4 linked regions of the Oreochromis niloticus genome follow. The main gene of each other region encodes a partner of the protein of the gene in region 2 in a complex. Links are inferred from orthologs where the notes say so. Each region holds a gene or a part of one and is shown on either strand. Other genes may lie near its edges.

The links.
Region 1: the proteins of pola1 (region 2) and prim1 are in contact, whole or in part, in a cryo-EM structure (PDB 7OPL), measured with the Homo sapiens proteins. The link is inferred for Oreochromis niloticus from reciprocal best matches to the Homo sapiens genes POLA1 and PRIM1. Residues at the interface, in NP_058633.2 of Homo sapiens: Tyr439, Ala440, Pro447, Glu448, Lys449, Ser450, Phe876, Thr877, Thr878, Gln880, Leu906; in NP_000937.1 of Homo sapiens: Asn92, Thr93, Val94, Lys95, Leu96, Gly97, Ala98.
Region 3: the proteins of pola1 (region 2) and pola2 are in contact, whole or in part, in a cryo-EM structure (PDB 8G99), measured with the Xenopus laevis proteins. The link is inferred for Oreochromis niloticus from reciprocal best matches to the Homo sapiens genes POLA1 and POLA2. Residues at the interface, in NP_001082055.1 of Xenopus laevis: Gln548, Lys551, His553, Gln554, Asn555, Phe642, Glu645, Val646, Gln649, Asn652, Leu673, Gly675, Arg676, Phe679, Lys1137, Asp1141, Pro1143, Asp1144, Ile1321, Gln1322, His1324, Asn1325, Lys1326, Leu1328, Leu1329, Arg1332, Ile1335, Lys1336, Tyr1338, Tyr1339; in XP_018112289.1 of Xenopus laevis: Met280, Tyr281, Lys282, Phe283, Met284, Phe285, Gln286, Lys287, Leu288, Met289, Ile291, Arg292, Val295, Ser296, Ile299, Glu314, Thr316, Leu320, Pro321, Gln323, Glu324, Thr325, Val326, Gln331, Gly333, Cys334, Asp335, Ser336, Asn337, Gly338.
Region 4: the proteins of pola1 (region 2) and prim2 are in contact, whole or in part, in a cryo-EM structure (PDB 8G9F), measured with the Xenopus laevis proteins. The link is inferred for Oreochromis niloticus from reciprocal best matches to the Homo sapiens genes POLA1 and PRIM2. Residues at the interface, in NP_001082055.1 of Xenopus laevis: Leu842, Lys853, Ile894, Pro895, Glu896, Leu971, His974, Arg977, Glu978, Leu981, His982, Glu985, Gln988, Lys989, Asn991, Glu993, Asn1007, Asn1009, Arg1101, Asp1102, Glu1106, Gln1109, Glu1221, Asp1224, Gly1225, Asp1227, Ala1229, Leu1230, Met1233, Trp1234; in XP_018121015.1 of Xenopus laevis: Pro34, Pro35, Thr36, Glu37, Asn38, Ile39, Ser40, Leu41, Ile42, Phe44, Glu45, Ile49, Ile107, Phe110, Ile111, Leu114, Cys117, Gln118, Ser119, Glu120, Asp121, Arg123, Ala240, Arg241, Leu243, Val245, Val246, Gln247, Arg251, Leu252.

Annotation. Positions count from the first base shown.
Region 1 is NC_031984.2:12,818,720-12,825,835, reverse strand, and holds the start of prim1 (DNA primase small subunit), read right to left. Parts: upstream 3,022-7,116; 5' UTR 2,840-3,021; coding exon 2,731-2,839; intron 1,912-2,730; coding exon 1,754-1,911; intron 1,672-1,753; coding exon 1,565-1,671; intron 1,474-1,564; coding exon 1,400-1,473; intron 1,305-1,399; coding exon 1,168-1,304; intron 1-1,167. UniProt on the Homo sapiens protein: Catalytic subunit of the DNA primase complex and component of the DNA polymerase alpha complex (also known as the alpha DNA polymerase-primase complex - primosome/replisome) which play an essential role in the initiation of DNA synthesis.
Region 2 is NC_031974.2:21,298,657-21,305,619, reverse strand, and holds the start of pola1 (DNA polymerase alpha catalytic subunit), read right to left. Parts: upstream 3,026-6,963; 5' UTR 2,907-3,025; coding exon 2,858-2,906; intron 2,394-2,857; coding exon 2,266-2,393; intron 2,011-2,265; coding exon 1,914-2,010; intron 1,818-1,913; coding exon 1,740-1,817; intron 1,659-1,739; coding exon 1,543-1,658; intron 1,334-1,542; coding exon 1,271-1,333; intron 1,007-1,270; coding exon 905-1,006; intron 801-904; coding exon 629-800; intron 542-628; coding exon 373-541; intron 1-372. Other genes in the region: pcyt1ba (choline-phosphate cytidylyltransferase B), read left to right, coding at 4,146-4,226. UniProt on the Homo sapiens protein: Catalytic subunit of the DNA polymerase alpha complex (also known as the alpha DNA polymerase-primase complex) which plays an essential role in the initiation of DNA synthesis.
Region 3 is NC_031966.2:21,173,911-21,181,722, forward strand, and holds the start of pola2 (DNA polymerase alpha subunit B), read right to left. Parts: upstream 3,007-7,812; 5' UTR 2,741-3,006; coding exon 2,656-2,740; intron 2,181-2,655; coding exon 2,056-2,180; intron 1,949-2,055; coding exon 1,860-1,948; intron 1,734-1,859; coding exon 1,676-1,733; intron 1,444-1,675; coding exon 1,334-1,443; intron 1,158-1,333; coding exon 958-1,157; intron 842-957; coding exon 753-841; intron 513-752; coding exon 360-512; intron 9-359; coding exon 1-8. Other genes in the region: top6bl (type 2 DNA topoisomerase 6 subunit B-like), read right to left, coding at 4,911-4,958, 5,073-5,186, 5,263-5,373, 5,667-5,788, 5,889-6,047. UniProt on the Homo sapiens protein: Accessory subunit of the DNA polymerase alpha complex (also known as the alpha DNA polymerase-primase complex) which plays an essential role in the initiation of DNA synthesis.
Region 4 is NC_031978.2:20,005,050-20,013,027, reverse strand, and holds the start of prim2 (DNA primase large subunit), read right to left. Parts: upstream 3,013-7,978; 5' UTR 2,887-3,012; intron 2,073-2,886; 5' UTR 2,068-2,072; coding exon 1,923-2,067; intron 1,799-1,922; coding exon 1,686-1,798; intron 1,029-1,685; coding exon 934-1,028; intron 833-933; coding exon 712-832; intron 1-711. Other genes in the region: rab23 (ras-related protein Rab-23), read left to right, coding at 7,360-7,514. UniProt on the Homo sapiens protein: Regulatory subunit of the DNA primase complex and component of the DNA polymerase alpha complex (also known as the alpha DNA polymerase-primase complex) which play an essential role in the initiation of DNA synthesis.

The sequences.
Region 1 (7,116 bases), on a different chromosome or scaffold from region 2:
CATATGGATCAGTCCCTCTTATTACCATTATTTCCTTAAGCCTTAAGTTGGCTAGTTAAGTATCGGACTAACGTTTAAAGCTTTTACTTGAGTGAAGTAACTCACATTACTGCTACTGCTAAGTAATGTTAGCCAAATTCACAGCATATTCTATAAATCACCATGCGATGCCATAACTAACTGCTATAATAGCGCTGCCGTACTACATCACACTCAGTGCATTTCAATCATTTCTCCAGCAAGTTTGATAGCTAGCAAAATAATAATAGTTTTAAAAATGTGCACGTACACATTGTACACATATGTACACATTCTCAAAAATTAATTACTAGGACTCACCTATCATGTGACTCGAGAGCGCAAACTCTGCCATTGTCATTTCCATCAAACACTTAAAACGGCAATTTCCAGGCATGTTAGTGCACTCATCCCCAACTGTCCGGGGGAGGGGCGGGGTCACACATTGAAACAGACTGACATGCAGAGGTGCTTGGCAGCCCAGGTGGAGAAATTTTGCTTTTAGACTTTGCGACTCATTTTCTTTCTCTATCTGATAAGAAAACTATTCGGTCAGATAGTTATTTGTGGTGAATGAAATACAGTTTCAAGCACTTTTAAGCACCACATCTGAAATTCAAGCACTTTTCAAACCTTGAAAAGACAATATTAAAATTCAAGCATTTTCGAGGATTTCAAGTACCCATACAAACCCTGGTATTAGTTTGTTTTATCTTTTTTAAGTTTTAATAAATGCTCTTTTAATTTTGTTTTAAGAGTCTTAATATTTGTACTCCATGTCTATCTATCGCATGCTGTTCTAGCTGTTGTGTGGTCTGTTCTATGAATCCACATGAAGCACATTGTAATGTACGTGCGACACTTTGTTCTAATTATAATAATAATAGTTCAACATCTTATTATAGTAGTCTGGCAGGACAAGTAGCGTTTGGTGGTTTATGTGCAATGCATCAATAGACTGACTTTTCTCTAACTGCGTTATACATTCAAATTATGTTTTAGCAATCCCAACCTGTTAACTGTGGTTATATCCAATAACATCTGTTAATTAAAGTTTATAAAAAAAAGAAACAAAAAACTTTAATTGATTAAGTTAGGAAGTAGAAAGTACTTACAAAGGACTTCTATTAAAAGTTGAAGTACTCGTACCTTGACCAGGCTGAGGTATTCTGTCACAGCAGAGCGCGCTGCTACAGAGAGTTTCCGGGCAGCTTCATCACACACCCAACAATGTACTCCTCTTCTGCCAGAATAAACCCACAGACGGTGCTGGAAACCAAAGTCATCTGGAAGTAACACAAAAACCAACACATGCTTGATGAGAATTTCAACAAAAATCCACACAAGCTGTCACCTGGCACTGAATCTGTGATGACCAAACCTCGAAGAGCTCTATCCAGGATATGGATGGCGATGGTCATTAAGGTCCAGCACTTGGAGCAGATGTCAGCAGCACTAAAATGACAGTTTTAAAGTGTTATGTGGGCGATGAAACGGTCAGGATATTCCGCGATTGCGACAGGAAATAAATACATAATTAACCTACCTGCAGCAGCTTCGGACGTCATCATAATCTGTCATATCAATATCAAACACAAGCTCTTTCTCCAGAGCCTGGAAGGTCCCCGACTTCACAGTGTTGTGTTGACTTGGCTGTGGGCAACAAAGAGTGACAAACATACTCCATACATATGTCTGCCGTGATGCACAAACTCTGTAAGGTGTGGAAAATTACCCTGTGGCTGTACACTGCTCCCACGTCGATCTTGTAGGGGTTCATCTTCTGCATTTCCTTCTCCAGCTCATTCTGCGTGCTGAACGACTGGTAGCGTACATAGATGTCATCTTTCAGGGTAAACGAGAACTCGCGATTTTGAAAGTAGTTTTTCTGCACTGAGATTGTACAAGAAAAACAAAGAAACAAAAAAATTCAACAAGACACACACATTAGTCCTGTATTTGGGCATTTTTAACTCTCTGTCTAACTCTTAATAGTTATACATGTCAGCATCACAGAGCAGTGGATCCTGTCTTTACTGTCAACGGCACTTTTACAGTTTCATTTATAAGCATATGTTACAGTACTGCAACCATCCATTCTGAAATGAGGAATGAAAGTCAGTAGACGTAATACAAAATAAATGTCTGTGAATGAGAGGGAGACAGGTGTAACAGTGAAGCTGCAAGGAGTGGTAGTAAAGGTGGATATATTTATACATCTGCAGTTACAATAATGGCTGGTGCACAACAGAGGTCAAGAAGAGAGTGCTCACATTTATCTGCAGATGAACTGAGTGTCTAATGCAATGTTTATGCTGGATAAATGATAACGTGCTGAAGAACAGCAAAACAATTCAAACAAATCAAACATTTGTTTCATTACTGGCTACTGACCTATTTTAAACACTATTCTAAACACTGGTAACTGACCAGAATTTCAGCATCCCTGTTAAACAACAGCATTACTACAGTGTTCGTAGGATGCATTAATACAAAATCATTTTAATCTTTACTGATGAAAGTAGAGGGATTAACATGAAGCTAGAATGGCTGTATAGGATGACTTACTAATTTGGAAGAAAGTCAAATCCAGAATAATTCTACCATTTTAGTGCCTAACAAAACACGTTAGCTTCCTATATAACACAACACAGATCAACACCCCCAGTTATTTAGCTTATTTATGCTAGGTTTCCATGCCTGTGTACTCACCTCCTCCGTAGCTCAGCCAGCGGTAATACTGGGAGAATGGGAAGAGCCGCCGGTAGTACAGCGGTAATAGGTCCGGCAGAGAAGCTGGATCATAGTCTGATGATGGCATTATTTGATAGCTAAAATTAGCTGTGGATGTAAAGATACGGTAAAATATTGCTAAGCCGCTAGCTACACCGTGACAGCTCACTGTGTTGTTTTACGCCGAGGGTAGCGCGGGAAAACTCTCAAGCAACAGACCAAACCAATGACACAAGTTTAGGTCAGTGACATCACCACAACCAGGAAGTTGCAAGGCAGCCGTTTCTCTTTTAGGCTATAAAAAAATCAACGAAGGCAAAATCATCCAGGGTAATGAGATTTTTTTAAACTATTACTGCATCGAAACGTTACTATAACATTGACAATGGCTTTCTTTTTTTCCCTTCTGGTTTTAGTTAACCTTGTAATATTAGTCCTAGAAGCTTAAAAAAGGCGGACGTGACGCCAGTGAAGAGAGGCTCATGGGACATGTAGTCGTTTGGCAGCAACAACTATAAAGTACAATATGACAAAATAAAGACGCTGTGGTAAACATTATAAATTAATTATTTAAAAAATAAAGTAGCTCAATAAGTAAACCTGAAAACAAAACACAAAGAGCACAGAATATAATACAATACAGTGGTTTTTGGTAAAGTAGCTCCATAAATTACTCAGAACGGTAGCAATATTGAAATGTATTGACTTTTGTATAGTATTTTTGTCTCTCTTATTTTCTTTACTTAGTTACTTGTTAATTTATTTCAAACATGTATATTGTTTACATGTTTGAAATAAATTAACAATGAATGAATGAATAAATTACTATATTATTATAAATCCATCCAACCATTGCTCTCACTTCATCCCTCCTCCATTTTTTGCTTTTTGCTTGTGTCCTTGATACTACCAGTAGCATGAGATGGTATCTGCAGCCCATTCAGGTCACACATGTGACACGCTCTTCCAGGTTAGAACATGCAGACAGGCTGAAAGGTTTGCTGTGTGGCATGGCATCAGGCCCTTGCATCCTTCAGTGGATGTTGGGAGACCCAGCTTTGATACAAATGTTCCATGATGGTTTATGCTTCTTAAACGGACAGAGTGATATCCCTGAAGTTTCTTTGGTTTATACAGTGATGATCAAGTGTTTATTTGAGTGTTTTTAGAGTAACGTAAATATAAATGAACTACAAGGGTCTGGGGGCCTGAGCAAAGGAAACAAAAAGACCGGAGTCTGAGATGCCACATGATGGGCCATAGGACAAAACAACATTTCTCCGTAAACTAATTAGAAACTGAAAGCAAACAAACAAAAATGGGGGGGAAACTGGCTAATGTATCCTCCATCAAGGAAGAATAAGAAAAGACAAAGAAGGGTAATAGAGAGATGCCTCATCAAAGGTTTCTTTATCTTCAAGCCTTCTTTAAATTTACTTCATCCTCAGGTATTCAATAAAAAATGTTGATTGAAAGAGTGAAGTGGATTGGAAAAGAGAAGAAATATAATACTATCAATTCAATTTTTCCTAAGCTGGAAAAATTGAATTGTACACCCCTAGAGGGCAGTACAGTCTCATAACAATAATTTGAAATTTCCCACATTAATCCACATTTCAGGAAATTTGTTTTCTTTTAGTAGTTTTCATCATCCTGGCAGATCAGTTGTACTAAAACACTCAGTTATTCTGTTTCTTGCATCTTTGGTATGAGCAGTAAACACTCAGGAAAGAGGAGAGGACACTTCCACAGTTTTCAGTGAAGCATGGACGAAATGGTGCCAAATACGAGATCCAAATGAGCTAAACAAGGACAAACAGCAGCTTATTTCAGCTCTTTTTTGGGTTGATTGATTGATTCATGCCATTTTTACTCTTCAGTCACATCCACCCTTTGCTTTGACATTTGAAAAGGCCACATGCGCTTTCAAGACAAAAAGTGTCAGGCATGGAGCCTCTTTCTGTCCTGCCCATCAGTCTGGGTTGCTGCACTATTAGTGTTACAGCTTTCACTGTGGTGCATCAAACACCTCCTGACTGAAGTGGTGCTGCTCACAGTGAAGGTTGAGAGGTGTGCAGCCACAAGAGCCCTTGTCAGCTGTTGTACTTCTAATGTGAAACAACACTCTCTATTTGCAGTGTTGTACTTTAAATATGTCTGGCTCTGTAATATTATTCATTCCGTCTCATCCCCAGACTTGAATCTCTATTCATCTCTGACACTCTGTTTTTATTTCAGACCAAACAACAAACCTTCAAAATCATCCTTCCCCACTGAAGACATAACAGTAACTTGTAGCTTCTAATATACAGGCAATATTTCAAGGGAAAACATCTTCATATGCACTAAATTTAATCTTCCTCTCCACTTTCACACACACATGTAAATGCTGAGCGAGCCAACTACAGTAACATGTGTAATACCTACACTCTAGATTGATGGTAATGAACCAGCTTCAGTGAACTGTGCCACACTCAAGAGCAACTGATAGACAAGTAATGCCAATACATTTCCTTTTATGATTGCACTTTATGCTAATATACCACTCATACCCTGATTTGCATAATGCAAGAGCTCTCAACCTCATCTTACTTGAATTATGCAAATTTTATTCACTGCAAGGCATATTGGATGCGATGCATTTTTCCCCCTTTTGAATCAATTTCTAGAAATCACTTGAATCAGATTTGGGATTAATGCCTTCTGTTGCTTTGATCCGCAATTCTACTGTATATTAGAGTATATAATTAATGCATATTTACATTCAGGAGTTTCTAATATCAATCATTTCTGTGAGTTGTTGTTGCTATTTAAGCTCTCCAGTGGCTCATCATGCATGTAGATACGTACTGTAACACATAGCTACCAGTCACAGCCGCACGCTCAATGCTAAATGTCAGTGGGGCAAGTTAGATAAGGTAAAACATGGGGAGAAGATACAATTTTCAGCTGATGAATGTAGGTCAGACTGCTTTCAGGTGTCCACGGAGCCCACTGGCCAGCACCATAAGTCATTGTGTTTGTTGTACATGAGGAGTCATAGTTCATGGTTGAAAAGTCACTGTGTCTTTAGATCGCCAAAGTGTGCCAATGTTGCCTTTCATCAGGAAAACCTGGTGAAATAGGCTAATAGAAACCCTAAAACCAGTCTGGAGTGACACAAAAATGTATGTCCAAAGATACAGTAACCTTACCAAAGGAGGTATGAGAGCTAATTGTTTTCATTTTTGGATTCCACTGCTTGCTTGTCTTGCTTCTAATCCTGGTCTACTTGTGTCTGCATACATATGTTTATGTATTTTTACATATACCGGTGTTAACATGAGAATGGCTTCTACCGACTCAATTAAGGCAGGAAGCTTGAGACGCGTCCCCCCCCCCAAAAAAGGTAAAATTACACCAAACACAATAAAACCAACTAAAATGACTGGTAACAGGTGAAACATTGTATCACCTGACGCCTTTTATAGACTGCTAAGCCAAACATGATATGATGATTTAAGCATAAAAAGACAAGACATATTGGAATGGTCATTGATCAATGGTCATGACAACTGGCAAATTAATGACCACGAAACTGACCTCATGGCCCATTGTCAGTCAGTGGTGCTAGTGTCAGTCATTATGCAAATGTACTATTTACGAAGTTCAGGAAACCTGCAGTCAGCTAAGACAGAAGAAGTCACTTGGATGAGTGACGAAACATTTCTCCCACTGAAAACACTTCATCCAGAATCTTTTTTGGGGGGGATTTCCTTACCTGGATGATTGGACATAGAGTCATATTGGAAATTTAATAATTTATTAATTTAGCAAACAGAGGACTCAGTAGGATGTGAAAGAACCATTCACACCTACAATAGCCTGGCGCATCTCCTTCCACATGCTGGTCAACAGCTTGGCTACACACTGCTGTGGGATGGCATCTCATTCTTCAACCAGCATTTGTTGCAAGTCAGCCAATGTGAGAGTGTTGGTCAGAGAATAAGATGCTGGTCTCTGTTGTTTAAATGAATCAATTGTTAAATTGCCAATGTCTTGTTTCTTCAGACATTAATCAACCAATCCAATAAATGACACCAAAATTCAATTCAATTCAATTCAATACATCTAGTGTTAAATCCCAACAGCAGTTACCTCAAGACGCTTTTTATCGTAAGGTAAAGACCCTAATAATACAGAGAAACTCCAACAATCAGACGTCTCCCTGTGAGCAAGCACTTGGTGACAATGAGAAGGAAAAACCTTTGGCAGAACCAGGTTAAGTGAGTTAAAGCAAAATAAGATGTCTTGCCTTGACAGAGAAGATTTTTCATGGGCACAGCCCACATACTCAAGTCAAGATTGTTACAACAAAAAAAAACA
Region 2 (6,963 bases):
TTACTGTATGGAGCCCTGCCGTTTGACCCAGACAGATTTGTGAACCATTGAAGTGAACTGAATTGCAGTCATTTTCATAATAGCCCATGCAATAATCAGCCATCGCATTTAGCTTTTCGAATTCCTTTAGAAACACCGGCATGTGCAGGTAAACCACGGGAGGAACAGATGGCACAGGACTAAACACCTGTTTAAAGGGCATTTAAACTGACTTATGTAAACATCGTGTTAACTTTGCTATATGCATTTTATATTTTCCTTGTCCTTGCTTCGTTTCCTCCAGACTGGAAGACACAGCAATTTTAGCACGACCCATAGAACTACAACTATGGGAAATAAGATGAGGTTGGACTAAAGGCATAAAAAACTCACATGAGGACTGGGTCCTGAGGTTCAGCTTTGGCCTCAACTTTGACTGCAGTCACTGCTGCTACTTCAGGTTTAGACTCCGCGTCGTCTTTCACTACAGGTGCCTCCTCCTCGAGGCCAACCTCCATCGGTTCATCAAAGTCCATCTCATCAAATGCCATGGCATCATTCACTGAGGAACACGTTAAAATGTAAAGTTAGTGCATAAACTTTTCACAAAGCAAAAAAAGGGCAAAAGATTAGAAACCATCTTCATTACCTTCTTCTTCGTTCTTGTCTTCTTCATTCAGTTTTTCCACTTTTACCTTCTGCTTTGCCATAGGAGAAGCAGATGTGGAGGAGGGAGGGCGGACTGATGACCTGGGGGCAGACTGTGATGGTGGCGTTCGAATCACTTTTGCCTTTAACCCAGCTGCTGAGGGCGAGTCCTGCTATCAAAGGGATGATGATTCATTATAATTTCAGGTAAGCCACTTTATAAATTTGTCTAAAGAGATAATCAATATCCTTTGATTAGGAGGGTGGGCTGAGTTACCTTTGGCAACTGAGGTTTGATAGAGAAGGGATTCATGGGTGATCCCACAGATTTCTTTTTCTTTAGAGTCACCACAGGTGGAGGAGTCAGAAGAGCTGGTTTCTGGAAAGACGGAGCATATTTTAAAGCCACATTAACAAAGGCTAAGATACCAATAGAAAGAAATTACGGCCTTTAAAAGAAAAAGAAAAAGCAGAAGGGAATATGTCATCATGCCCAAACAGGAAAAAAGTCAAAATGGCGTGAAGAGAAACCTAATAAAAGACTGCAGGTTTTAGAACAGCATGTGTAATCTCAAGTGTGGTTAATAGATGAAAACGCCTTGCTACAGACTACTGTCACATTTTTAAATGAAGAATTACCAACCTCAGAGTGCAGGTCCTGCAAGATATCCCCTAACAGGTCATCTTTGGACAGATCAACATCTTTCTGTAAGAGACAAGAGTACAAAAACATCTGATAAATGCATAAGGACAAAAACAAACAAACAAACAAACAAACAAAAAAAAGCTGGATGTTTTTGAGCTTTACACTGACTGGAATATCCAAAGCACCATGCAGGCACAGAAATCCTTACATGTAGACCTGCATGGGGCATTTTTCACAGAAGCAAATCAAAGATGCTAACAAACACATACCTCAGCAGGCCTCTTGACGTTGCTGTTCATGAATAGGCTCTTAATGCTGTTGGGTTTGGCTACGACAGATTTCTTCACATTCTTCTTTGAGTCACCTCCTTTGGCGCCTCCTTTTCCTGATAAAACAAACAAAACCTATTCATGCACCTGATCTGGACAACTTACTCCAGAAAATGTAATCAACTCCTTGTGTTTACCCCTTTTGTCTTCTACTACATCATCATCCAAATCATCGTCAAAAATTTCTCGTCCATCCTCCACGTATCCTGTTCCATCTGGCAAAAAAAAAGAAAGAAAAAAGAAGAGGTAATAAAACAATTGTGACGTTGGCACAGTATAAATATTCCTACAGCAGGCTGACTGACACTAACCGTCATCAATAATCCAGTCATCCTCTTGCCTCTCTCGTACCATCTTTGAGTACTCATCCTCATCCACCTCCTCATACACACTGCTGAACTCCTTCACCTGAAAAACACAACACTGGTTAAAACACAGGTGTACTACTGTGATATGACACCTGCATACAGCATCCTAGGATAGAGAACAGCATGAATCATTTTAATGAGTGAAAAACAGATGCTGTAAAAGGAAGTATGAAGATACTTAACCAGCTTTGTTTATTAAGTCACAGTGAAGGAGTTAAAACAGGTGTTTGATGCAAATTAACATATTCTTCACACACCTTGAAGCAGAAACCAGTGATAAGGCTGCCTTTCATACCTCATATTTGATCTTCTCTCCCATCTTAGCCTTCTTGAGCTGTTCCAGTGCGGACTTCCTCCCCACCTTCTCCCGTTTCTCCCGTCTGGAGCGAGTCTTCGCCAAACCACAGGCTTCACTTCCATCGTCTGAGGAGAGGTTCAAGACAACGCAGTATAAGGAAGGACGTTTGACTCGTTTCTTCAAACATATAATACGCATATACCAGATCGACCTGACCCTTGTGTTTCTTTTACCATTCAATTTAAACGTCTGAAGACTTACTGGTGGTCGTTATATAGATTTTTCTCGTTCTCGAAGCGCCACAGAAGGTTTTAGTGGCGAGTTAACAGACCTCCACATCAGCGCTCTTCTGCTAGCTACCTATATTTACCTTCATGTCCTCCTGCTTGAACCTTAATAATACTCATTTAACAGTGTAAAACGCTGGCAAGCAGACAACGGTGGGCACTTTGGGTGTTAATGACCGAAGCCTGATAGCAGGTGTATTAACATAATCTGAACTAGCTAGCGTGTCAGCTAGCTTCTTTGCTTTCCCACCGCAATGTCGCCAAAAGTCAGCAAAAACAGAGGCGCGAGGCCCAAAACTCACCGCCGTCCGGAGCGTCCATGTCTTTGTCAGGGTTTGACACTGGAGCCATGGCGAGAAGTGGTGGTTTTGTCTTATTTATTCGTACGGTTATGGCAGGTCAACACAACAACAGAACAGCTCGCGCCAAATCGGCTTCCCGGGGAAAGTCATATGTCGGAAGTGACGACAGAGCGCCCAACCAATAAACTGGCACGCTATATCACCTCTGTCCACAAGGTGGCAGTGTTGTACAATATAGCAGTATTATTTCTCCCTATGGGCTGCACTGTATCTTCTTCTCTGTGCACCGGATTATATTTATCTGGCAGGCAAATGTGTGTGTGATTACTGAGGTCTGGCGCGATGTGGCATACAGAACATGCGCTTAAAATATATCCACAATTTCGACCGTTTTCAGAATTTACACTGAAACCAAGTTTATGTAACTTAAAGAAGTTTAAAATGCAATCATAAGAATATAAATCAGAGAAAGTTTCTGAGCAAAATTTTGTCAGTTGGTCTCAAAAAGTCAATTTATGTGATATTAGCATAAATATTGTATGAGGTTCAAACGAGTTTATAGTGACTTTTTATTTCTTTTGAGTTAATAAAATCGCATCGCAATTTGGCTAAAAGAAACAAAACAAGAACAATATATATTTACAAAACAACAAAAATCTTTTAAACCATTCTATAAATCCGGGGATTTTTAGTACTGGGGCCATTATTTTGCTCTGTTTTTCAAAGCCTGGCTACCCCAGTGAAGCTGGTTTCCACAGCAACCAAACCGGTCCATGGAGAGGACAATAGATTCCTGTCCCAGATTGGGGCCACAGAGACACAGTGCGTCCAATAATGAAAACACAAAGCGTGTTTTGTCCTCCATTCACACGGCTTATTTTGGCTTTCTATACATTAAATGACTGATTACTTCGCCAAGTTCCGGTGGACTGCACAGTATATTGCAGGTTATAGAAAGGCTCTTTGTAGTATTCATCTTATTTTTGTCTTTACAACATTAGGCTTTTTAAACTTGTTCTCATTAGGGTAAGAAGTTGCAGATTGCATGAATTAGGCCGTTTGCTGAGGCACAAAACTGAGGAAGTCTACTGTAAGCTCTGCTATATCGACTATGGCCCACAGTTGTCGCTGCTCATCAGCGCTGAACAGCTGATGCGTCCTTTGGTCAGAGTAGACAAACAGCTTGTTGTTGCTCTGCTGCACTTCTGCCGCTGCGCAGCTCGCTCACTTTATAAAGAGCAAAGCAGAGAAAAAGTGAGCCTCATTGTGATATTTTGTTTGTTCCACCATGGTGAAACAACGACGCGTCAGAGCGCATTCCTCTTGCGCACCTGTCGCGCCTTTTTGTCGCAGAAGAGGATCTCTAAAGGTAAGACATCCCTAAACAGACATTAAAATAGTTGTTTCTTTATTCGCAGTTTATATGCGTATTCCATTTGTTGACTTTTTTTTCTTCTTTTTGTTGAGGACTCGCGGGGGTAAGTTGCCCGTTAGCTTGGAGGGTAAACTTTTATGAGTAGTCGGAATCTAATCCTAAAGAAAATGCGCCAAATATTAAAATACGACGATCCTGTTACAGTCAAATGCACTGCTGTACTCTATAGGAGCTTGGTTTACCTTAAGTTATACAATGAGGGATACTAAACTAGTCAGGACAGTTTTTTAGCTTCTTCTTTTCCACAATCATGTTTGTTTACAAATCTCACACAAAGATAAGCACATACACTAGACACGTGAAAACCCACATACTTCTATTTAAATCAGCGTTTGGCGGATAGCGGTGCCACTCAGTGCCATTTTTCACTGATGGTGCTATGGCCTGCTCCACCAATCCTCACCGGGTATACTGGCGGTCCTCTCTCATTGGCTACCTCATGGAGCTCTCTCTCCTCTTTTCCGTCGCCATGGAGAAAGCTCCTCAGCGCGCAGAGATCGTTTACGCAGACACAGATTCACTCACGGCTCGTGAAAAGATGTCAGTGTGATCTCTTAATTTATCTCCTCACTGTTTTGGGTTGAATCTGTGCTCCTTTGTTAGTACACAGTAATAAACAGACAGATCGTAGAAAATCAAAATCAGATTATTTGCCAAATATGTTTTCCCATGTGAGGATTTCACCATAGAGTCAAGCAGTCAAAAGAAGAGTGCTCTGGTGTTTCCCCGTATACCCTAAAGGGGCACCCCTGAGCAAATATGGTTAAACCCTTTTAATTCGGAGAAGTCTTTTATGTTAACGCTTTAATATGACGCAAGACTAAAGGGAATATAACTGTGATTTAACAGACGGCGCTTGACGCTTTTTAAATTACTATTAAAACGGGCAGAATTTTTTATTCCAAAAAATAGTCAGAGTGAGGCCTCTGCCATGAGTCTGCGTCTCTGCAGCAGAGAGGATCAGATGATGAGGAGAGGACAGACAGAGAGGCAGAGCGGAGAGTGGGCGGGGGAACTGAGGAAGGAGACAGAGTGGTGAGGAGAGGCATCGTTCCACTGATGCTGAGTCACATATCAGAGGGACCACAGCTGCATCCCATGAGTCTTTGGGAATAATGGAGGAGCTTGAACACACCTGCCCTCATCCCCGAACGGTAGGGCATCCGCGCCTATGTGTGTGTGTGTTTTCTCGTCTTCCATTGCGCACAGAGTGTGTGTGACAGAGAGAGGGAGACAAAGGGTCCTGTTATGAAACAGATCCCCTGTAGCATGTGGCTGTGGGATCTGCTTAGAGTGCTGAGTGGACAGTGTGTGTGGGTGTTTCTGAGTGTGTTGCCAAAGGAGGGAAGGGGTCCGTACGGTAGCCAACATAGCATGAACCTCCTGCTGAGGGGGAAATTGCCGCAGCAAGGATACAGAGCTTCCTATGTTGGGATACTCTGGTGTGATTTATTGCTTTAATGCTCCTAAAAACTCTCCATTTTGCCCTTTCCTCACCTCTGTCTCCACTCCATCGAGCCATTTTTTCTTCTTGAGAGCCAATCTCATTGTTAGTCTCATGTCCCGTGTCCCCGTGGCTCTCTCTTTCACCCCAGCCTTAATCCTTCTTATGCCAGATGTTCTTTGCTTGTGCCAGAGTCGGCATTACTGAGCGCCTGCTCTGATAGGTCAGGTGCCTGTACCTCTGGTCACTTGGTTTTCAGTCTTTACCATCTGCTGTGTTCAGATGGTGGAGCTCTGTTCTTCCTGGGCCATAGGTGAATCACGGGTGATGAGGGAACTCCTCCAGCACTTTGTTGTTCTTTTCTGTTGAAGTGTGTGTTATGCATTTATTCACTTTTAAGCTCTAATAAACACTGTTAACCAACACCTTCTGGCTGTAATGTTGTCTGTAAGTGCAGCAGAATTAGGAAGTACAGGACAGCATTTAAAAGAGGAGGTTAGCTAAGGAAAAGTTAGATTGTCAGATTGATAGAGAAAGTAGGCAGGACTATGTGTAGAAAATAGAAGAGGCAAAGGAAAAGGCTTGTAGTGAGTTCTATGTGAGGCTGGACACTAAGGAAGGAAAGCAGAGAGATCGAGCTGGAAAGGATGTGCAGCAGGTTAGGGAGCTCAAGGATAGAGATGGAAAGGTACGTATGAGTGAAGGGATGATAAAGGATGGAAAAAGTACTTTGAGGTATACTTTGAATATAGAAATTCAATTCAGCTCAGTTTTATTTGTATAGCACCAAATCACAACAACAGTCGCCTCAAGATGCTTTATAATGTAATGTAAAGACCCTACAATAATACAGAGAAAGCCCCAACAATCAGATGACCCTCTATGAACAAGCACTTGGCGACAGTGGGAAGGAAAAACTCATATTTAACAGGAAGAAACCGCTGGCAGAACCACGCTCAGGGAGGGGCCGGTTGGTGGTGAGGGGAGGAAGACAGGACAAAAGAAATGACCGCAAAAAACAGCTGTTACACAGATAGGCAGGCTATACTGTGCAGCTTATACATGTGCAATTTGAACTCCTTTTTGGAAAAACAAATATTCATTTATGATCCAGCCATGTGCATTTCCAAAGTTAGACAAGTACAAGCAAAATTACCTACTTATCTCCAACACTGAGAAAGGATCAGCCAGGATCTAACTGCCACGGTCCCTACTGTTTGTCCTTGA
Region 3 (7,812 bases), on a different chromosome or scaffold from region 2:
ACCACCACCTAAAAAAACAGAATAGAAGCATTTAGATAAATGTTTTCTTACATGTGGGTTTGTTGGAAAGAGCTGCAAAAACATAAAGCTACATGCTTCTGCTGATAAAAGGTTTCCTATAATTCTGAAAGTTTATTTTTATGAGAGGAAAAACTGTCAGAGCTCTCGGTCAGACACTGGGTCAGTCTCAAGCCCATGTCCTTGGCATGCTCTGTTACTCTTGGTGGCCATATAACCTGCTGCACATAAGCTCAGTGCACAGGCAAAGGAGAAACCACCGACTGGTCATTAGGAAGGACCTCATCAGCGTACCCATTTCTAGTTTCATCTGTCAAAGTAAGATATTTTCTTCAGCTCACCTGACCAGGAAAAAGAGAATACTCTTTAAGCTCCGATAGGTCAACAGGTACTTGCTGACCGCCTTGTTCTGGTCCGGCCTCTAGCAGAACCGACTGTGCATTCAGTTTGCCGTTACTGTCACAGCAAATCTGTCCTAGCACAGTTATACTGTCCTGCAGGGAAGAAGACGCAAACCCAAGAAAGAAGTTAACTTTTAATCAAACAAATACATTTAACAGACTTAAGCAGGTTTGATTTTACTCTTCAATATATATGATTTTAAGAGGAAAAAGAATTCAGTGATGTAACGTAACATTTTATCGCAACCTACTATTATTTAATAATTTATTGTTTAAGCAGTGGGGATGAATCTTTAATTTAAAAGTTTTCTGAAGGTGTCATCTCTTCTGTACCTGGGCAGGCAGAGAGACGGGGGAGAACTCCTCAATGCTGAAGTGAGTCCTGAGTCCTTCTCCTAGCTCCTCAATCTTCTCTGTCAACACTGGGAAAGACCCAGGAAAAAAAAAATATTATCCAAAGGTTCTGGAGTATATTCATTTAGTGATTTTACACTCAAACATACAGGAAATCTTTAATCAAGTGTGTGCAACTATGTACCGTTTCGAACATCTCGCAGCCTCTGGAACATGTATTTGTAGCTGCTGTTAAGGGAATCTTCCGGTCCTTCCAATATCTCAACTTGGACGCCTGCACCTGGGTCTTTCCTGCCCACCCAACGGGTGCCCTGCACAGCCCCAAATGTGACCACCACCTCCCCCTTTCCTCCCCGCTGGCTGTACTTCTGTGAGGGTGTCGCACTTCCAAAGAGAGAAGGGGAGGTCACTTAAAGTGACAGTGATGCAAATACAAAAGTTTATCTTTAAAAAAGTTACTAGTGACAAAAATAAAGCTTTCTTTTTTAACTTTAACACAACCAGAGAGCATAATTTTCATGTTTTCAAAAAAAATCAGAGCAGCATGGGGTGGAGAGTACTTGGGAGAGAAGCTGGCTGGAGACAGCAGTATGCTCGGGCTGGCCATCGGAGCTGCAGTTCTCTTTGAACGAGGATGCTCTGGTGTCGTCAGAGGTCGTTTCTGAGAGCCCTGTACCGACAGGAACAAACACAGTCAGGATCTTGTCTGTCTACATAGACTCAAACTTACTCTGCGGGAGACCCACGAGTCACATCTAGCTTATCTTAGCTTTTAAAGGAATATCAACAAAAAAACCCAAAACATAAATGGATACACTTTTTTTTTAAAGTTATGAAAATGTATTTCTTTTGTTCAGATTAGATAATGCTCTGCTGCTGACAAGCAAGAAGTGTTTGGTTACCTTAGCAGGAGTAGAGTAAGAATCTAAGAGATCCTCCTCCTCTTCCTCAGCTTTTATTCTGATTCATTTTGTCAAAGTCTATGACTCAACAGCAACATTAGCAGACACAAATCAAAGAAAACACATGACTCCACACAGTGCAGATGGACGGGTCTTTACGCTGAAGCATCAGTGTGAAGGATACAAATCATCCATCCTGCTAATGTCTCTCATTCTACTGGATGCTTCTTCCTTCCGGGAGGTTTTTCTGGATTTGCTCTTCTTGTTCAAAACCTGCAAGATGACAAACATGCTGCATTTATAAGGAGTAGAGAATGACTACATTGTTGCATATTTAATAAGTAATTTGTAATGCATGTTAAAATCTGTGGTCCTGTTACCTCATGTTCAAACTGCTCCAGAGTGTCCATGGTGAGCTTCACCCCTTGTTTTGTGGCGCTATAGGCAACCCACTCATGCAGTATCTCGGATGTCTGCAGTCTGTTACAAATACACTGCTCCACCACTGAATGGAGGATATATGAGGGAAAACAACCAAGGATTTAATCTGAGTGTCTGAGAAAATACTAGAAGCAAGTACAGTGTGAATTAATTTTGTGGGACACAACTTGCAGTGAATAATTACTGTTCTTGATCTTTAAAAATGGCTTAGTAAATATAAAAGACGTATCAATGAAATCAAAACAAAAAAAAGCTGATTTCTAATTTACTTGACTTGTGAAAGTAAGTTATCAAGAAGAAAAATGCTATTTTAGTTAAAAGCTTTAACTAACAAAAGCGCATTGACATCGGTATATAAATATTATGACTGATGACAACAGCTTAAACTACATGTCACAACACTACATTACTGCTATCCTGCGTATGGTAGAGTCCTCGATGATTACAGTGATAATACACTTAGCTTCTTTGCTAGCACACTCTCCTGTGTAAAGCCTCAATCCATATGAGAAAAACGGTCATCTTAGTTAGCAACTTACTTTTGTCGAGGACGGAATCATCCTGATAGGGTATATCGAATATTTCCAGCTCAGCCTTTAAGCTCTCTGTAGTTACTAGCGACATGGTTTTATGATATACAGTTATTACGTTGTGGAAAACGTGAAAAGCTCCAATGTTGTGATGATAGCTGCTAACGTTAGCTTTACTCTTACTTCGCGACAATGCCGCTGACCCTAGTTTTTTTTTTTTTTAACTACACGGCTTCTAAATACTACCTACAGGCGGTTAGCTGTTAGACAGTACAAACGAAATAATAATGGTCGACCTGATGCCTGTTTCATTTTACCGCGAAAAAGCGCTGTTCGTGTTGGCGGCCGGAATATGCGTCACATTCGTAACAATAATAAACGGAAGTTGGCGGTCCCACAAAAATAAAAGCCTGTCCTGGTAACTTGGTTGTTTCAAACTTTAGCAGTGTCCCACTTCAGAAGCAGAAAAACGCAAATGCCCCACAGTTCATCCAATCAACAATTAAAAACAAAGGACGCACGAATTCTATCTGAATAATGGTCAGACAAATGGCAACTAACTCTTATCTATTTATACTTATTTAATCATCTGGTTATCTGCTCCATAGTTTGGGAATCACTGGATAACATATGTGTACAGTTTAACTATTGGATAGCACTGGTCTGGGTACCACAATTCTCAGATCTTTTTATAGGTGTGCAGTGTGTGTTACTGATACTGCTCTGCTGCTGGCAGGAAGTCTCTGGAGTGGACAATTGTGTCCTTGCAGAAGATCAGCAGCAGCAGCCTGTCATTGATTAAAGATATCTACATCAGCAGGGCTACCAGTATCAAAAAGGACTCTTTAAACCCATGGACTTTTTACCCCCTCACCTCACAAAGTGCAGCATCAGTGCCAAAACAACAAGGCTGGGAAACGGCTTCTTCCCAGACCTGTCACACTCACAATCACTGCTACACACTAACATTTTTTGTCCATGCACACATTAGGAACTTGTTACGATACACAATAACAGGTTACGCAAAACAGACTCATTCTTGCAATAACTCCTATTGTCTGTTTTTATATCTATCAAAACTCGTTTGCACTCTAGAAACAACTGCACTGTAAACAACTGCATAAATCAGATAAGAATGCGAAAAATTGCATCCTTACCGATTTATATCCTTAACTTAATTATATGATCGTTAACGTCTTGTTTTTCTAAATTTAGATAATATTCCAAATTGTATTACCTGTTTAGTTGTTCATATGACTCTTCTTCTGCATAAAATGATCCCTATGAGTGCCACCTACTCCAATCAGAAATGATATAAGATAATGATAATATAGTGACCAAATTCTTTAAAGAATACAACAGTAAAATGCAAAACTATTAGAAATAAGACAGGAAATTAATTCAGCAGATAATTGTTAATCTTGCATTTAGCACACAAAGTGGTAAAATAAACATTTGAACTCCAGTTAATTATTTTAATGCTGTTGTTTATTTCTAATAGGATGGATGCATGTTAGAGCTCTGAAACTTTACATTTTACAAATTTTAAATATTCAAACTTACTGGAACATAGCCAAAAGATGTGAAAATCACTTTTGTTTGCCACCAGATCAAAGTGAAATTGATTATATTGATTGCACAGTTCTTGGTGATGAATGCCAATGTTTCACGGATGAGTATCTGAACTGGGGCTTTTTCAGGGTCCAATCTTGTCAGTTTAGGGAGATATCTCAACAACAGATACTCATTAAAGATCCGGTGGGCATTCTTCTGGCTATCTGTGACAAATACAAAGGTATCACTGCCTCTGATTTTAGGGCTTTTTTTCCAGGTTACCATGGTGATGTAGGTAAAAAGAGAGGCACTTTTATCACACTGAAAACTCTGACTTTAAACTTGTAATAGCCCACTAAACCTTCCTGTTAAACCCCTGTGTTTCACTCAAATAATGTATATTTGGTACTCCAGCACTACGTGATGTCACCTCACATCCTAAATAGATATATGCTACAGACGTTTTTCTATGGGTATAACATTGATAAGAAAAACTGAGATCAATTTGAGCCTTGGAATATTATTACAAAAATAAACTGGTGCAACCAAGCTATAACAACAACTGTGCTTTTAAAATTATGGATTAAACAGATGTTGCTTTTGGCAGCACAACTGGTGCACTTTAAATTTTTTAAACACATTCAAACCCTCTTCTGCCGCCTCCGCAGCATTTAACCATAACAGAACTCTTAAGATAAACACAGAGATTCTCAGATTTCTGCTGTGGTGGGCTCATCGTGTACAGGATGTACTTCCATCTGTTAAAACAATGACATTGCATCAGATTGTGGTTCAGTGTAAGAGGTACAGTGGTAATGAGGAGCTGCTATAGGAATTGGGTGGTGCTGGCGGAAAGCAAGCGTCTCACTCACCTTAGTAGAAAAGCACTTGGCCCTGGGAACGAATTTCCATGATGTCACTCTCCACAGTGATTCACGGAGGGAGGCTGCCAACTCATGTGTATCATGTACCTGACAAACACAAACCTAACAAGTTGTCAACGCCTCTGAATACAGTATTCAGTTTCTGCATCACACCATGAGACAGGCAGTTTTTCCACACCTTCATGCGGTTCAGACAGGCATTTCTGAAGTCCATGCTACTGCTGCTGCTCACGATGCTCATGGACGAACTGAGAATCACCTCAGCAGCTGCGTGCAGCTTTTCTTGTTGCTTAAGGACACACACAAACATACACAATTACTTTTTTCTGGTGCCGATAAGTGTTAGAAATGAATATAAAACAACCATCACAATCTACCTGAGTATAGGGTTGTGCTTAATTGCATAACCAATTCAATCCATAGTGAGTGAAAAGAGAGAAAAGATGTCAATGATCAAAATTGTTGCTGATTCATTTTCTGTTAATGGACTGTAATAGTTATCATTAGAGGACTAAAAACTCTAAGTAAAAGAAGTAGGATACTTAGTGTGCTTGTGCATGTGCGTGTATGTGTTTGTCATGCCTTTTTTCTGTGATTTTGCGATTTCAGTGTGTTCTTCAGCTCAGTCTGCACGGCTGCTACGACGGCCTGCCTGTTGTTGTTCAGAATGTCCTCCAGGTGGAGCTCTATCAACACCTCGGTGGCTGAATGATCAACAATTTGCATGTTTGCATTGGAAAACTGAAAGAAAGGCTGCCTACAGTGTAGGGTTTTGTGACTGTACATGCTGCTGCGGTTCCTCACCCATAAGATCAGTGAGCTGGGAGGTGAAGGGGTCACTATGCTGTAAGAAGAAGAAAAGCAGGAGACTCTGCTGCACTGTGGGAAGACTTGATTCCTGCTCTGGATCATCCCAGCTGTCTTTCTCTACTGTGTACACAGTACCGCCGCTATACACAAGATCTGCAGGGGATGTTGAAACATTTATGCCAAAGTAAAGAAAATAATAAGATGGATACAGTGGGAGTTACTTGAGATAAGAATTTTAAGAAGAAAACAGAGTGTTTGCATGAAGCCACACATGGGTTACAACCAGCATGACATGTATCTAACATGCTGGCAATTAAAGACACACCTCTGGGTTGGGCAGATAATTGTAAGGGCATTTATTTATTTATTGCAGCCTTTTATGTCAGCATTAAAAAATAACATGTCAAACGTGTCTCTTTTCATGCCAAATCAAACTTCTTAAATAAAATAAATGATGATGGAAGATGGTCAGAGACAGCGTGAAGCAGGATGGATTACGGGGTGTTTTCAGGTTTCACTGTGTGAATGTGAATGGGCAGGGTATTGCTGATTAATACAGACTGTCGGTTTTGTTTGTAGTTATGATTTATTGTATACAAAGGGGGAAACACTTATTGTGAAAGAGCAGTTTCTGATAAAAGGGCCGTATTTTGACTGTTATCACTACATGAGTGCGTTTAATCAAACTGCTCCAGTCTGCTCTGTGTGCAAAACAGTGACCGTTAAGTCTTTTTAAAATGTAGCTTCCAGACTGATGTGTTTCTTTTTGATAGCTCTCTTTAGGGTAAGGCTTTAAATACCTGCTGCTACTACTTAAAATAAAATCTAAATGACTAAATGGTTAATAAAGACTTAAATTAGGCTCATTTTACTAGACTGCTGTCTGGACGCAAGAAGATAGTTTGGTCTTTTTTAGAGAAGAGCGTCCTGCTTGTTAGGTACTCATTGACAGGAGAAACCATATAATATTTACAAGACTACTACTCTGTAATTCAAATGATCTTATAAACTATTCAAATATGCCATATACAACTAATTTGCAAAATACATGTTGGAAAACTATAATGCTGCTGCCTCTATGTCCATCAGTTTGGTCCAAATTTAAACCCGAAAAACTTGACGGATTGCTCTAAAAGGTTTTGGTAACTCTGATGGGACAGACTTTTTTGTGCATGGCACTGGCAGTCTTGTGGATGTGTCTTCTCAACTGCTGAATATTTTGCAACAAAACAGGTCCTGTTCTCAAGATGATAGATTTGTAGGAACTCTGGTTGTCCTGTCTTTTTATCTAGCACTGTCATCAAGTCAAACATTCAGTCTGCACGTTGCGCACAGTTCACATTCCACATGCTTTCTACACTGTCACTGTGACAATATCAATGAAACGAAAATGAAACACTGCTCATCCCAAAAGCTATTAGCATGAAAAATTATGTAAATACTTCTGAAAAAAAAAGGAAAAAACCTTTTAAGTATATTACTGTAATAAAGCACAGTTATTCATGGGAAACAGACAGTTAGGTCAAACCCTTTCTCCACAACTGAAATCGCTGCTATGAGAATATTTTGTGGTGCGACTGGAGCACTAAATCTTGTATTGGAAATAAATTTCAAGTGCAAATTAGTTGCAGATGAACCCCATTCTCATGAGGCAGGTTTTTAGAGTGCAGGGAAAACCACTGTGTTGTGACAGAAAGTAAATTCTGTAGTCCATTTTCTTTTAGTGCTTAATGCTTTTGTTTATGTTTTCTGTTCTGCGTCCATTGTTCCGTTTGGTTTTGCCTCTCCCATTCAAATGTCGGCCTTATGAGGTCCATAAAAGTCTTAATTAGCAGCCTCAGGCTTGGGCTCATTCTCTCATAAACCCACGCAGGTGGTTGAAATGAGTTTTCTTCAACAAAGGTAACAAATCCAAGTT
Region 4 (7,978 bases), on a different chromosome or scaffold from region 2:
TGGTCATGCAACAGGACAATCAGCCTCATTTATTAATATCTATGTGGAAAAGGTCTTACTCCGCAAATTTCTTCCCACTCAAAATTACCACCAGATTTAGGATTATTATTATTTATTTTGATCTTACCACGATGCATACAATAGTAAATCATAGCTGTTCGGAACCAACAGTCCCATAGACTCGCCTTACAATTTGCATACTATCTGCCCCGCCCCAATTTTTTTCATATAAGGAAACATATTTACTTTCAGGGAAGCAGAGAAAATAGTGATTGTTCTTAGAGAGAAGCCTGCACCTCTAGGCAAGAAATAAGGAGAAAAGCTGTAGAAAAATAAGTAATAGTGTTTGAGGTCCAAGGAGGCAGCTGGAAGAGAAGCAGCTTTCCAAAGTGTTTCCACTGGACTGATGACTGTTTTTTTTTTTTTTTAAATTAATTAATTAATTAAAACTCTCAGGCTGAAATGATGGGAGAGAAGAATATAATTTTCCCAGAGAAACTCACTGTAGCTAAGTAAAAAAAAAAAAAAAAAAGCTTGAAGGTGATATAAAAAAAGACAAATTGTGTGTTTCTGAATAAGTCACAATCACAAGAAGACACAAATTTCAAGTTTCCAGTTGGAATTTTTTTTGGTGGTAAGCCTCCTCAACTATAATTTCCAGAACAAACCTGTTTTTGAAATGTGCCAAGTGTTTTCTTTAGGAAAGCTTACTGTGTCATAGCGGAGATTATTCTTGTGAAGAAATTCCAGTTGTTGTTTTGGGTCCAAGTCATTAAAACGGAAGCGGAAAAGATCAACTTCCTGTTGTATAAACCAGCGCCTCAGATCTTCCCTTTGAGAGACAAATGGAAATAAACATTTATCTTTTGCAGCTGAACAACTTCTATTCTGACCACATCTTTCAGTATTCCTAAATGGAGACTAAAGACTTACGTTTGGCAGTAGGCCAGTCTGAGAATGAAGTGGGAGATATGGTCTTTTCTTCGTTTTTCATATTCAGTTGGTCCACTTTGAGATTTCTTGTCATCCTTAAGGGTTAGAAAACAATTAGGTAATTTGAAAGACAAATAGATGTCAATCATCTAATCATCACTCACCACTTCTTGTCATGTTGTACAGTTTTTTATTTTATGTACATATATGAAAAAATGATCACATACTAAAAGTCATTTTTACGGTAGCTGTACACTAACTTCCATTATCTCAGGCTCTTGTAATTCAGCATAGGGTCTTAAAATGTTAGTAAATGAGTCACGTTTTCTGCAACACCCAGCAGTGTCTCTTCTTTACTAATACAAATACATTTTATTGCTAAATCATGCTATTTCATCACTATTGCAAAGAGAATTTGATGGATCCTGCGCAAGCTTAAGTTCTAGGGCATCAAAGTCAACACTGTGTTAATACACATTGAGCTATACACTGGCCTTACTCTAAAAGCTATGACAGTTTATTAGATACGTCTCACTGCCATTTTAAGGGGATCACAAGCACCATGAAGTGCAGTGCGATATTACAGGACCCTAACCAAATCCAAACCCTGTGTTTTCATTAAAACACGTAACAGGTAGAAGTTTAAAAAGAAATCTCTTTGTGATAAAGCTTTAGCTGAAGTTGTTGAAAACATAATGCAATAACGGACTCACTAATACTCTTTAAAGTTGCATAATGGGAAACATACTCACAGCATCTGGTCTGTAAGGAAAGTTCAGAGCTTTAAGCTCTTTCTCAAGTTTGCTTATATACAGGTCTGTAAGCTTGACATGGCTCACTCCCAAATTCTCCACAGTCTTCAACACTACAGTGGCAACAGACATTAGTAACCACATGTCCTAAATAAAATGTATTTCACAAGAGCAGAGAAAACAATGCTTACAGTAATTTTCATCATTTGAATTTCACTAGTATGAGACAAATCTTACACTTCAGTCGTTCCACAGCAAATGTTTCAAATTCAGAGAGAGAGATGTTTTCAAGAGGAGGCTGTCCATAAAACTGCAGGTGCTGCCCATAGAGCTCCGACTGAGGGTTAATGCTATTCTTCTTTCTTCTGCCTCCAAACTGCATAGTGCCTGATGTTAAGAGAAATCATGTATGTTTTCATGTACCACTTGGTAACAAGCTGGGTCCCAAACCTGCCATATCTGATGCAGTGAGCCATTTACCAAAGCGACCTTCAATACAAATTCATGACAATTAAATAAGCTGTTCTCATTTCAAAATGCATAACGCGTGATTTTGCCATTTTCTCTTTACTAGGAGTTGAATAAATAAAACACACTATTGTGGAGAAGACCCGAGCGACCTTTTAAACGCTTATGACTAACAAACATTAAGAAATTCATTGGCCTTTGATTTGACACAGTAAAGGATGCTGCTATACAAAATCAGAACAAACGAATTGCTGCAGGCATCTGCTATTAACCATTAACCAGTCTGTGCAGAAGTGGCACCCGGTATAACTTAAAGCAAAACTTGGCAAACGGAGTTTCTCCTTGACTAATCTTCATCACAGTCGCTCAATTAGGGATTAAAGAAAAGAGTCGAAATGTTTCTGACAGCTAGAAATTAGCCTCTACAGACAAACTGAACTGACAGGGTGAAGCTAGTTGGTTTGTTATGTTACACTGGCTCAGCAGTCAGTAACTGTCGTTCTCATAAACTCAATTTTTACGTTCGAGGCTAAATGTAGCCGCTAACTGAGACTATTTAGCTTATGTTAACAATAGAGCCCATAGCAAGAAGTTAATGGTAGGGAGAAAAACTCCAAATTTGACGTTTGCTAGGTATCAAATTTGAGTTTAAACTGCGTTGAAAAGACCGAGCTCGAACACAGCCCGAGAAACTTATTTCACGGTTCAGGATATAATACTGTCGTTACATTACCGATTAGATGACGGTTTTAGAGTCCTAATAACGCAGTCCCGCCAAACAAAGTGGGCTGTTCAACAAACGCGGGTTAAAAATATGACGTTGCATCCGACACCGGAAGAGAACGAAAGTTGTGAAGTGGTGTGTACTCGTTTTACTTTTCAGCACAGCCCGTCCCGTCTCTCAAAATAACGATGACCTCCATGAAAACTCAAGCAAAAAGTTTCTTTTAAAAGGATATTACCCAAATTTGTCATTTCACACTATGTTTCCATTTCTGTTTTTTTGGCGTTTGAACCAAATCCAACACAAACTCACGGGCCCATGTGTATTACATAACAAACGCCCCAATAAAACGCGGGTTCTTCTTATCTTCAAATACAGAAAATCTTTGTTTTTCAAACGATTAATAACAGTTTTAAAATTAAACCCAGATATTAAAAATAAATCATTCAGAAACCCATTTCATTTTCCAAATGCCCATTTGATAAGGTTGGTTGGACTGATTTTCTTCTGAAATATCACTACTCCACAGACAGTTTACCTATCAGATCAGCAAATATCCACAAATAAGGATTACTGGCACGTCCTTAGCATATAAACTTCTCTTCACACAGACACTGCATATGGATATACGGGTGTATATGCAGGAATGAATGAAACACCGCATGTTTGACACAAGAATGTTAGTTTTAAAATAAACAGAATATATTCTGTAAAGCACTTTCTGGAAAGGTTTAAATTCCATGTCATTTATAACTGTGATTTCTGTGGTCGAAATAGATCAGACATTTCGCATTTATTTTTCCAGTGTATGTAATCCAAAATATTGTGGTTTGACGTACAAAAGTTTTGTATTTAGAGAAATTGGTAAATGGTCATGTTATATTATAGAGACATTTTAGTTTATTTTGTGGCTAACTCAATAAACAAACAAAAAAATTCTAACCCAACTTCTGGTCATTTTTGGTAAGTTTCATATGCATACAGTAAAATGAACCTATACAAAACCAAAACGTCGTTACGTTTTTAACTGACATCAACCATTACTACAATTTTCTCAGCAGACGGTTAGGTGTTTTCTGCCTTTTAAAAAAATGAAGCTGCAGTTATTTAAAGTTATTTAACTAACTATTTGAAAGTTTCACATTAATGACACATATTCAGAAAGGGAGCAACTGTAGTGGAAATTAAATGTACTCCCTTTTAACACATTTCCGTGTTTCTGCTTTATAACATGCATTTTACTTCACATACCTGAAAGTAAAATGCACTTTTTAATCCGGTTGTGAGTAATTTTCACACGCTTTTTTCCTGGTTGTTGTGATATGGCCACATAAAGCACGCTTATAAGACATATATAATAGCTGTGAATAAAATAATATCAAAGCGGGGTAAAAACATGTGCGATAATGACAATAATTCAACTTTTAAACAGTCGTGACTTTTAGGGCTAACATATGAGAACTACAAGTGTTCCCAAGACTCCCGAGGACAGAGGCGCGTTCACGCCGACTCTCTTGCTTTGTGCATTCTTTGGCTCTGCTGCTTAGCAACAAACACTAGCGAGCTAGCCAACTGCCTGGCTAGCTCTCACGCGCAACGTAGCTCACTGAAATAGGCAGCAATGGATATCCATCCTATAAATGTCATGAGAGTGACCTCAGGTGTTGACAGTCAATAAACGGCATCTTTCGTTTAGGAGAGAACGTTTTTGCGCTAGACAGGGAAGAAGACGTTAGCGAACGGAGCAGAAGGTTGTCTTTCTTCTGTGAAAAGTGGCTAATCTTAGCTAGGCAGCCTTAGCACCGGAGTCTCTTGCGTCTCCTCTTGCCACGGAGAAGAGCGGCGGGAGGCTGTAGATATGTGGATGTGGGTTAGCTGACTGCATAACTCGCCTAATGTCATTGGATGAGTTGTAGCGTCGTTTTACAGGTAAGAAACTGCACGCTTCTTTGGCATGCTTTCCCATCATTTCTTCACCGTTTATTTCACCCAGCTTTAACGCACTACCTCAGGAGCTGCTCTGTACTTCAAGGGGAGCCTCCTTTCAGCAATTCAACAGGTCTTATCTTGACCAAGGCAAGGGATTTGAGTGAAGAAGAGGAGTGAGAAGTTAACTTCTAACTTAATTCCCATCAGAGACTATGAACGTATTACATATAGCAAAAGTCTTCGACAGAGTTGAATAGCTTAGTTGGGTGTCATGGCGTTTTGATCTGTGTTATTCAGTCTGTGCTTTAAAAAATTGTGGTGCCCCGCCTTGAGGCCTGGGCAAGTAACGGTAAGTCTATGAAGATGACTCACTGTCTAGCAAGGGGGGTGTATTATCTGCTTCATACTGAGCAGAATTCAGTACTATGTGCATAGCAATGCAAAGCATACTCTCCTACCATGTTATATAAAAAATGCAGTAGGCCTGTATATTTCAGATTCGGTGTTATCACATTTGTGTGGGGGGGGTAATACTGATCTGAAAACCCAGAATTTACTCAGGACAGTTGTTTGTGCAGGTATGGAGAATATTGTGTTTAAATATGTGTAGCTGATACCTGTCTTGAAGTGTTCGACTGCACCTTCCAGTCACTTCTTTAGAGCTTGAAAAAAGAAAGCAGCTGGACTTCTTTCAAGAGTCTTTTTCCCTTAAAAAAACAAATGGTGGAAAGTCACAAGTATTTACCCTGGGGGGGTACCCTTTGGCAGTGATCCTTACCCAGTATTGATAATGTGAGTCACCACATGAGCCAAGACGTAAAAAACCCCCAACTTGGGTCACTCACATTACCATCAGTGGGGGCTAAGAATGAAATCTCTGTGAGGCCTTGCCCTAACATGACCTATTGAGATCACCCAAGGAGAGTTGTGATTCATTTCAGAAATGTGGGGGATAAGACATGACCACAGTGCTAAAAGATTGCCCCACACTGTTATTGATACTAAGAGCACAATTATTAGAATAGAATAGAATAATCCTTTAATTGTCCCACAAGGGGAAATTTGGGTGTAACAGCATCAAGAAAGACACACATACAAACAAACAGTGCACAAGACACAGAACAGAAACATACACAATTTTTACATATTTACATCAAGGACAATTTTTACCAAAAACAGAGTACTGTACCGTTATTAAATTAAATAAAATTAAATACAGATAAGAGGTTATAGTGTGAATCGGTTGATAAAATAGTGCAAGTTACAGCGCTGATGTAAACCTCTATGTTTGTTGGGAGCAGTTTTGATTGTACAGTCTGACAGCTGCAGGGAGGAAGGACCTGCGGAAACGCTCGCATGAAGATCTCATATTCAGATCTCATTTTCAAATACTGTTAAAGCAAATCATCATCATTTATCTAAATCTGAATCATGTTGTTCTAAACCTATAGTAGTAATAAATAAACAATGCATAATCAGCTTCTGAACCTCCCAGTTTGACAGTTTCTGTGATGATAAAACACATTTAAACTACAACTCCAGAACCGACTACACTTGAATATGAGAGGACTAGCTGCTTGAAAGGAAGACGAGGTCTTTACTCAACTAAAGTGAAATGCAAAGTCAAGACTTTAAAATAATCCAAAAGTTTACATTAAAAGAAGAGCATACTATTCTATTTTCAGCTGTGTTTTGCCTTCATGTTATACCAACTGATGTGTCATTCGGCTCAATTACAGATACATATTGTGACTCAAATTCAGGCAGGCTGTTGAACACTACAGTCACGCAGTAGGCTGTCAGTGTCCACTGAGAACAGCTTTCCCACAATATGTTGTTTAGCGTAGCACTCAGCCACTCCACATATATAGCTGTGGGGACCCGGTTGCTATGCGGAGTCTGCAGTTTTCTGCACTAATGGAACAATAAACATAGTGAACCACCTCTCCAGTCAAGCTGAAAATTTGTTTTACAACAGTTAGTAAAATGTGCACCCATAACAGTTTAAAAGCTAATTACAGACGTTGTGTATGTGACACCGTGTATTAGAGTGCAATGAAGTGCTTGTGGTGCTGGCGAATATGATAATTATATTATTATGCCTATAAAAGTTGAGTTGTGACTGTTGGCTATAAAAATGTATTGTAAAACATTTTTTTAGGCTTGGACAACTACATTTGTAACAGTATATTGACATATCAAACTGAAAATAAGTTTGATTAGTATTAAAAATAAGTAGCAGTTAGTTGCGCCTCTGCTAATTTGCTTGATCGTCAGTTGCACTTTAACAGCATTTATAAGTAACTTATAAACTCAGTAACAAAGTTGGTTTTCATCATATTTGTTCAACTGATAACTGTCTCTGAAGTGAGTGATTCATATATAAACCACATTTGAGTTGCACTTGTCCAGTGTTTGTGTGGCTTTTTCTTTTTTTTTTTTGTAGTATCTAATATTTTATTTTACACTTTCAGCTGGTACATGTGCTCCCGTCACAGCTCTGAAACAACACAGGCACAGTGGAACTGAGAAAATCAGCCAGACGTCACCACCATGTTGGAGGAGGACATGGAAGTGGCCATCAAAGTGGTCGTGGTCGGCAATGGAGCTGTCGGCAAGTCCAGTATGATCCAACGTTACTGCAAGGGCATTTTCACTAAAGACTACAAAAAAACAATTGGAGTGGACTTCCTGGAAAGGCAGATACTGTAAGATAATCATTTGAAAGATGTTCTACTTTATTTATCAGTTATAGTCTATAATCAAAGTCGCAGAGGGTCTGTTAACTAACTACAACTTCAGCTGTATAAAATTGTTTTACAATATTAAATACATATTTCAGTAAGTGCATACTGATCAATGTGGAATCCTGTTGGTACCCACATTTTAGGTTTAATCAGAAATTACTCTTTTTTTTAAAAAAAATGAATTTGACTAAATTTGAGACATTTTACTTAAAAAGGCCACATATTATATTCAGCTTTTATTTAATTAACATTAATTATTATTATTTAATATTTTATTAACCACAGCACAGTGGTGCAGTGGTTAGCATTGTGGCCTCTCAGTGAGATGGTCCTGGGTTTGAATCCACATGCTGGCTCGGGCTTTTCTGTGACTGTGTTGGTTCTCTCTCGGTACTCTGGTTTCCTCTGACAGTCCAAAGACATCC